2 linked regions of the Canis lupus familiaris genome follow. The protein of the gene in region 1 interacts with the protein of each later gene in a pairwise test. Links are inferred from orthologs where the notes say so. Each region holds a gene or a part of one and is shown in the gene's direction. Other genes may lie near its edges. The genes, in order: TPR and NUP153.

The links.
Region 2: the proteins of TPR (region 1) and NUP153 interact in a two-hybrid assay, tested with the Homo sapiens proteins (3 studies listed by BioGRID, with this or other methods). The link is inferred for Canis lupus familiaris from reciprocal best matches to the Homo sapiens genes TPR and NUP153.

What each region holds. Positions count from the first base shown.
Region 1 is NC_049228.1:19,322,557-19,327,069, reverse strand, and holds the start of TPR (nucleoprotein TPR), read left to right. Parts: upstream 1-1,680; 5' UTR 1,681-1,891; coding exon 1,892-2,042; intron 2,043-3,491; coding exon 3,492-3,596; intron 3,597-4,513.
Region 2 is NC_049256.1:17,835,132-17,838,946, reverse strand, and holds part of NUP153 (nuclear pore complex protein Nup153), read left to right. Parts: intron 1-1,232; coding exon 1,233-2,117; intron 2,118-3,815. UniProt on the Homo sapiens protein: Component of the nuclear pore complex (NPC), a complex required for the trafficking across the nuclear envelope. Functions as a scaffolding element in the nuclear phase of the NPC essential for normal nucleocytoplasmic transport of proteins and mRNAs.

The sequences.
Region 1 (4,513 bases):
CTAGAACAGCTCAATTTTACCTCAAGTGTTGCGTGACAACGTAAGCTTGCAAGCTGTCCAAGCACTGTGACTTGAGACTGGGTCACATCTCAACCCTCAAGTCTCAGCTCATCTCCTTGGCCTCTGGTTTCCTCGTCTACAAAATGCAGAACTTGGATCAGGCAAGTCTGAAAACCTACCTGATTTTAGGATCCCGTGATTCTGCGCACAGAATAGCTGCAGTTTCCACTTGGCGGATCACTGCTAGTGAGGCAAGGACACGGTATATGGATGGCACTACAACATACCAGCAACCTTCTTAACTCAAACAATCCTACAACATATTTTGGGCGAAAAACCCAACACATCCTTACTCAATATTCACAACAGGCCTGCTGCTGCGGGAGACTGCAGGGGAGAATGACTTGGGAATGCTTCATTGAAACAAGTTCTTTTCGGAAGGGGGATTACACATGAAATAATCTACAGATTCAGCTTCCAAGTCGCAGACTTCACCATCTGGAAACAAGCAGTCCTATTACGGGGGCCAGACGGTCAGCGGTTTTGAAGAATGTTTTAAAACTTTTGTCGCGACGCTTCTTCCATCTTAGAAATAGGAACACACGCTGGGAGCACTTTCTACGAGATTACCTCAAAACATAAAACCAGAGGTCACACTCAAAGTCCTCCCGGTTTCTTTAAATCCTCTCCCTGAAAAATCAAACAGGCTCCTTAAGCGCCTGTGGGTCCTGGTAGTGACCCCCCCCGCCCCGCCCCCCCCCCCCCCCAACACACACAAAAGGCACCAAAGGGCGCCGTTTCAAATAAAGCGTTTTGCGGTAACCGGACCTGTACCGGAGTGTCTGCCCGTACGTTTCCTACCCTCGGTCCCTTTCTTCCTTCAAAAGGAGGCTCTCCGAGCCCAAATGCACACACTCACTCCTCACGTGCACGCGTGACAGACACACACCTGTCGAACTGTGGTCCTCCGGAGATGGGGCTTTAAGGTGCACGTACAAGCCTCCAGGGGCCAGGCGCCCCTCGGGTCCAAAGTCCACAACCGATGAATTCATCAAAAAGCGACAGACTTCCCCCACCTCACTTCCCACGCCAAACCCAGGGTCTCCGGAGCCAGGCGGCGCAGCCTGATGACGCACACGGCCCCCCTTCCTTCACCGCGGCACCTCAGCCAAGGCGACTGCGGTCGCCACCCCGCCCCCTTCCGGGCGCCATTGAGAGCGTGGCGGTAGCCCGGGGCCTGCCGTCCAGCCCTGCCCGGACCGATGCCCTCTAGCGGCTCAGTGTCTAGAAGCCGCCAAAGAGGACGACCCATGGCATCCCGGAGCTTCGACGGTAAGGTCGCCTTGCTCTTCAGGGAGCGACGTGAGTGGACGGATACTCTGTGGCGCCACCTCGCGGACAGCTGCCAAGCAGCCGGACCGGGGCCGGGGGGGCGGGGGGAAAGGAGAGCCGTGGGGCGGGGAGAAAAGAGGAAGCGGAATGGGCGTTGCGCAGTCAGGCTCAGGGAAGGGATTGAGAAAAACACTACGTTTCCCACAAGCCCGCGGGGCTTGAGGCGGGTGGCCCGGGCGGGGTGTGTGTGTGTGGGGGGGGGCCGGAAACCGGGCAGGGGCAGAGGCCCCTCTGAACTCGGATTCCCAGGGTGCCCAGCTTCCGGCGGCTGCGCGCGCAGTCCGGGCGCGGGCGCTGTGGCGCGGCTGGTGCCGGCGCTGAGGCGGGACTCGGTTTCCCAGGGTCCCGCCGCGGGAGTCTCCGGCGGGCGGGCGCGCGCGAGCCTCGGAGCGAGGTGGCCGAGGCGGCCGCCCAGGCTTCTGGGTCCTCTTGGTCTTCGCCTTTCTTCTCCGCTTCTGCTCCGCCGGCGGCTGGCGCCGCGGCCACCGGCCCGATAGACATGGCGGCGGTGTTGCAGCAAGTCCTGGAGCGCACGGAACTGAACAAGCTGCCTAAGTCCGTCCAGAACAAACTTGAAAAGTTCCTTGCTGACCAGCAATCCGAGATCGATGGCCTGAAGGGGCGGCATGAGAAATTTAAGGTGGAGAGCGGTAAGTGGCGACGCTCTTCCCGCCCTGGATCCTGGGCCCGGCTCCGTAGCTGTGGCTGGTCTTCTCCCCTTGCGAGCTCGCTTTCTGCCTGCGACTCTCCCCGGTGGCATCGCCCCCCTGCTCCTTAGACACCCCACCCCACCCCACCCCACCCCCAGGCCTTCGCCTACCTGCTCTCACGGTTAGATAGAAAGCAGCCCTTTTGTTTGTTTGAAACCCATTTCACATTCAGTTCCGTTCTCTTTGTGGTCCGGGTGGTCTCCTGTAGGGTCCCTTGATGGTGTAGGGCGCACATCGGGGGTCTCTTTTCCTCCGCACTAGCGGGAGTCTGCGGCCCCTGTCTCTAACCTTAGAGTACCCGGTCTCTCTGTTGCTCTGCTGGTGATTTCCGCTCGGTTTTCTGGTCACCTGCATTCAGAGGCCTTTGTCTAATTGCACTGCTTCGTGCGCTAAGTTCTGTTCCTCAGTCCTTCGCGCTGGTCCGATTGCGAACTAGATGTTCACCTAAACGCGTACGTGCGGAAGACAGCGCTGGAAACCGTGAACGTAAAAGAGTTGGATATATCGGAATTCTCTCTACACGTTGGAGTTTAATAGAAAATATGTTAAGGCTTGTTTAGACGTACTTACAGGAGGCCCTTAAGAAAGGAAGTCGCCGACCATAGCGACGAGTATGTCCATGAAGAAGGATTAAGATCATAGCAGCTACCCTTACTGAAATATATAAACTCTTGTTATAATTTGCCCTGGTTTACCTGGGGTGATGCTGCTTTGGCTAAATTGATACAAAATTCTGAACCCTGTCATTTCAAAAACTTTAATTATCAAGCAGCATTGGATGTCGGAAAAATAATTCTTTGAATCCCAACACTGAAGATAGCACATACACTGGCTCCTGTTGATTTATTTATACATAAATATCGCTTGTCTCCTATGTGCTTGATACTGTGCTCAACAGGACACACTCAGTCCTTCTCTTGTACAGTTAACACATTTTTACATAAATTTAGTTATTTTATATCTTTAGGTATTTCAGTCTTTTAATACAACCTTTTAAAACAAAGCAGTTTTTAATCTAAATTTTTTCTCCATGTAATAAGGTTTCTTTGAACATGTGTCTGCTTTATACTAAAATGTCTGTTGATTTTTATGGGGAAAATACTAAGGTGAGTAAAGACTTGTTGCCTACCTTGAAGAATTGCAGTCTTATGGAAGAGAAGTTGTAAAATCCCCTCTAGGTCTCATTTTCTTTTGTCATAAACATGTGTCAGTTGGAAATGTTAAAGTCCTTTCAGTGCTCTATTTATCTTTACTCAAAATCTCTTATTTGGAGTGCAATTCAAATACTGTGTCTTTAAGTTTTAAAATCAACATTATTAAAAATAAATAGCAGTATTGACAGTGTGTGTACATGTATGTTTGATTTTATTTTTTCCTCTGCTTCTGAAGAACAACAGTACTTTGAGATAGAGAAGAGGTTGTCTCACAGTCAGGAGAGACTTGTGAATGAAACCCGAGAGTGCCAGAGCTTAAGGCTTGACCTAGAGAAGCTCAGTAAGTATTTTTACAACCTTATTTTATTCTTGTAGTATAGAGATTTTTAGACACTTTTGGATGCTTTGGAAACATTGACATACTGTTTATGAAAATACTGATTGTCACTGTTTTCATTTAAGGTAGTATTTGGAGTTTTCACTTGATGGTGAACATGAGAAACGTAAGGCTTAGTGGTCAGGAGTCCTGGGTTCTAATTCTGACTGCTATCAGAAGCTCTTTTGGCCATTTGTAAATCGTGATATATGAAATGGCTAGAACCACCTGTCCATGTGCTTACATAACTGTACAGATCAAATGAGATGTTTGAAAGCATTTTAAAGACGCATGAAGCATTATGCAACTGAAAATGTAATTAAGGACAGAGACTTAATTATTTTTTATGTTGTTGAAGATTAAAGCCTATATCTTCCTTATGTGTTTCTTATGAAAGATGAACAATTTCCTTTTTGAAAGATGAACAATTTTTATGAAAGATGAACAATTTCCTTTTTTTTTAAGATTTATTTATTTTTAAAGAGTGAGCACAAGGTGGGGTAGGGAGAGAATCTTATGCTGACGCTGTGCTGAGCCTAGACTCCGATTCAGGACTCGATCTCACGACCCTGAGAGCGTGACCTGAGCTAAAAGCAAGAGACAAATACTTAACAGACTATTCCACCCAGGTGTCCCGAGTAATTTTGTTTTTAATTAGTTTTCTCCTATCATTAAGTTCTAGAAGGTACACAAGATCTTAGTTAAGGTCCTAGCTTTTCTTGGGAAATGTGTATTATATGCTTTGGTTATGATAAGAGAACGCAAATGTCAAAAGATTGTTATAGAGTGAGGACATAATATTTGCTGTTAGATGTAGCTGGATTTTTAATTTGGGAACACAGGAAGCTAATAAGAGAATGGTTAACACTTCAGCCTTTTTT
Region 2 (3,815 bases), on another chromosome or scaffold:
GACCCTTGAATGATTCCTGTTTTGAGCCAATCAGTTACTTCATTTCTAGTTTACTCAGCTACATTGAAGTACTAGGAAACTAAGACTTTAATCTTGTCAACATGTTATTTGTCTTTTTAAGTACTGGTTCTGTTCACGCAGTTCTTTTGGTTCTTTGATGGTAAAGTTTTCTTTTTTAATGTTTGATAACAAATTTATTCACAAGATTTCAAACTCTAATTATGACAGGATTCACAGTGAAAAGTCTACCTCTTGTTCCCATTAGGTTCATTTTCCATCTTTCCTCCCCCACCAGAGGTAATAACTGGTTAGTTTCTTAAAACTCTTCCAAAGTTTCTTTATGCATATGACAAGCAAATATTTTCTTATTCTGTGTATTCTTCTTTCCCTCTGTTTTGTTAGAAAATGTTGTATATCATACTGCCTTTCTGCTCCCTTGATTTTTATTGTAGATTAGCTTGGACACATCTTTGTTCTTCATTCACAGCTGCCTGGGATTGCATGTGGCATTTTGCATGTTTGTGAGTTTATCTTCAAAATAAAGACTTAGGGGGAAAAAAAGTTAAGTAAAGACTTAGGATGTAAGGACAATCTTCTGGCTGGCTAGGCGGTGTCCCCTCCTCCCCTCACATCTCCACATACAACCCTTCCCAAGCTGTGTGCTCAAGGGTATACGAGTAGTTGTGCTTCCCTGCTAGGACCTCCAGACAAGCTATCAAGGTCCGTTTGTAGGAAAATATAGGACAGTAAAGCTTCCAAGGCTCCAGACACATCCAGATGAGGCCCTGCATGTGGCAGTCCGCCTTTCTTTTAAATAAATAAATACGTACGTACATACTTAGCTGTAGAATTGCTGGGTCAAAGGATACGTGTGTTTGTAATTTTTAGTAAATACTGACAGTTGCTTTCCTTGAATTTTGTACTAATTTACGCATCTACCTGTAATGTATAAAGTGTCTGTTAGTTCTAGACTCCTCACCAACACTGTTTTATCAAATTTGTTTGATCTTGGCCAGTGTCAGGATGAAAAGTGGTATGTCAGTATGTATAGTTGTGAGGACTAAGATGTGATTCTCCTGCTGAATTTTGGGCAGCTGGTTCATGTTTTATGGCCATTGCTGATAACTCTTCAAAGGCCTTTCCAGAGTTGTTATTCTTTTGTCTCTTTGTTTTTCAGGGGTACATTTTGTTTGAGAGGATAACATTAATTCGATGTCTTTTATATTTTGAAGGCTTTGGCACATCTTCCTCATCTTCAAACCCAGCAGCTTCATCCTTCAAATTTGGTATCCCATCATCCTCTTCTGGGCCTTCTCAGACTTTAACAAGCACTGGAAATTTTAAGTTTGGAGATCAGGGAGGCTTCAAAATAGGAGTGTCTTCAGATTCTGAGGCTCCAAACTCCATGAGTGAAGGCTTTAAATTTTCTAAACCAATAGGAGATTTTAAATTTGGAGTTTCGTCTGAGTCTAAACCTGAAGAAGCTAAAAAAGACAATAAGAATGATAATGATTTTAAATTTGGACTTTCTTCTGGTTTAAGTAATACAACTTCGTTAGCTCCATTTCAGTTTGGGGTGTCTAATCTTGGACAGCCAGAAAAGAAAGAGGAAACACCTAAATCTTCATCTGTAGGCTTCAGCTTTGGTACAGGTGTTATTAACTCCACACCTGCTGCTACTAACACCACAGTGACCTCCGAGAATAAGAGCAGCTTCAGCTTTGGAACCATAGAAACCAAGAGTGTTTCAGTGGCTCCTTTCACATGTAAGACGACAGAAGCAAAAAAAGAAGAAATGCCTGCCGCCAAAGGAGGGTTCACTTTCGGTGGTATAGAACCTGCCCCTCTGCCATCTGCCTCATTGTTTGTTTTGGGAAGGACAGAAGAGAAACAGCAGGAGCCAGTCACTTCTACTTCTCTGGTGTTTGGGAAGAAAGCTGACAGTGAAGAGCCAAAGTGTCAACCAGTGTTTTCCTTTGGGAATTCAGAGCAAACCAAAGATGAGAGTTCTTCAAAGTCCACCTTTAGTTTCAGTATGGCGAAACCATCTGAGAAGGAATCGGAGCAGCCAACAAAGGCCACTTTCACATTTGGAACTCCAACCAATACTACAGCTGGTAAGTGTTACAATTTTATTTTTGTTTTATTTTTATTTTACAAGGTGTCTCTAATATTTAGACAAATGGAGCAGGTGAGAGAATGGTTTACACTGAACATAGTTGAGAGAAACTGGTAACTTTTTGGAAAGGAGCATAGTGTTTTCAGTTTAACAGTCCCAAACCCCCACAGTGTGATGATGGTATCTACACACCTGATTTTGAGAAATACAGCTCTAGTGGAAAACCCACAGTGTTGCCCATTTGTCCATGTTTCTCTCTCCTGTGTGAGCTTTTACATTCGGAATTGGCATACTATTCAGGAAAATAGGCCTTCTTTCATGAGCTCCTGAAATATTTTCTAACTAAATCTTTACATACAGGCCTTCATTCCCAAATAGAGCTAACCAGTCATCATCAGGCGCATAGACATCAAATATATTAGTCCCTGAAACAGAGAGGTGATTACAAAAAGCAATATCCTGAAGGAAAAATGAAATCGCATTTTTAAAACTTAAAAAAATGGTTGGTGAAATAAAATCATTCTGTGGACTGAGCAGCTGAAAAAACATAGATGATAGTCGGATTAGTGAACTGAGATCTCTCAGTGTCAGTGCAGAAGTGCAGAGACTTGAATCAAGCTAGCTCACAAGTGCCATTGTAGGAGCAGTAGCTTAGAAGATGAGAACAGCATGGAAGAAATATCAAAGGAGTGACAGAAGAACATTTCCTACGTGCAGAGAAAGACTCTGGCCTTAAAATGGAAATTTTAAGGGGCCCACTCACTGGCAAATACCAGTGAGATTGTAGGACATCAAAGCCAAAATCCTGAATGCTTTCAGAGAGAGGAAAGCTGTTTGCCACAAATAAACAGGTGTTCTGATTAGCATCCGACTTTGAATTTGTAACATCACGTGCTTAAAATAGTAGAGCAGTGTCCTCAAAGTGAAAATGGTCTTAATTTTATAATCAGCCGAATTTGGTCAAATATAAGAGCAAGATATTTTCAGATAGGCCAAAAAAAAAAAAAAAAAATAGAACACCCACAAACACTTCTGAATAATATATTGGAAACAGGAAACAAAGAATTAACCTGGAAAAAAAAAAAAAAGAATGGAATTCAGTGGGTGGGAGGTCTTTCTGTTGTCTGTCTGGACATTCAAAATACACTTCAAAACCTAAGTAATGGATACAATTTGGAAGGTAATAAAAATAAGATCAGGTCTACTCACATATAATGGTGGTGTCACTATACTCTTTCCATTGAAACACACTCTTAACCTCCCATTAACTAACTTGAAAGTGAGCCAACATACTCCACTTTCTGTAAATCACGCTAACGCCGCCCATACCATATTATGAACAGCCCTGTCTAGAGACAGTATTATGGAACTGAAACATGATTGGGATGGTTAAAAAGATGTCTTCAGGTAGGTGAGTGGTTTCGGGCTCACTATATAAAAACCCGTAGCTTTCCTCTAAATCAGCAATAAATAGTTGGACAAATGTCATTTGTATCTTCTAACATTTCTGATTTGTATTTTATTGAAATACAAATTGAAAGAACATAAAAGACCTATTTAATACCTGTTCCTGAGGGAGAGCATTCTTCCCAACACCCCAGCATAATCTTGGTTTTTTTGTGTAGTTGAAGTGTGGTTGACATACATGTTGCATTAGTTTCAGGTGCACTGTAGTGATCACACAGCTGTGTGTTGT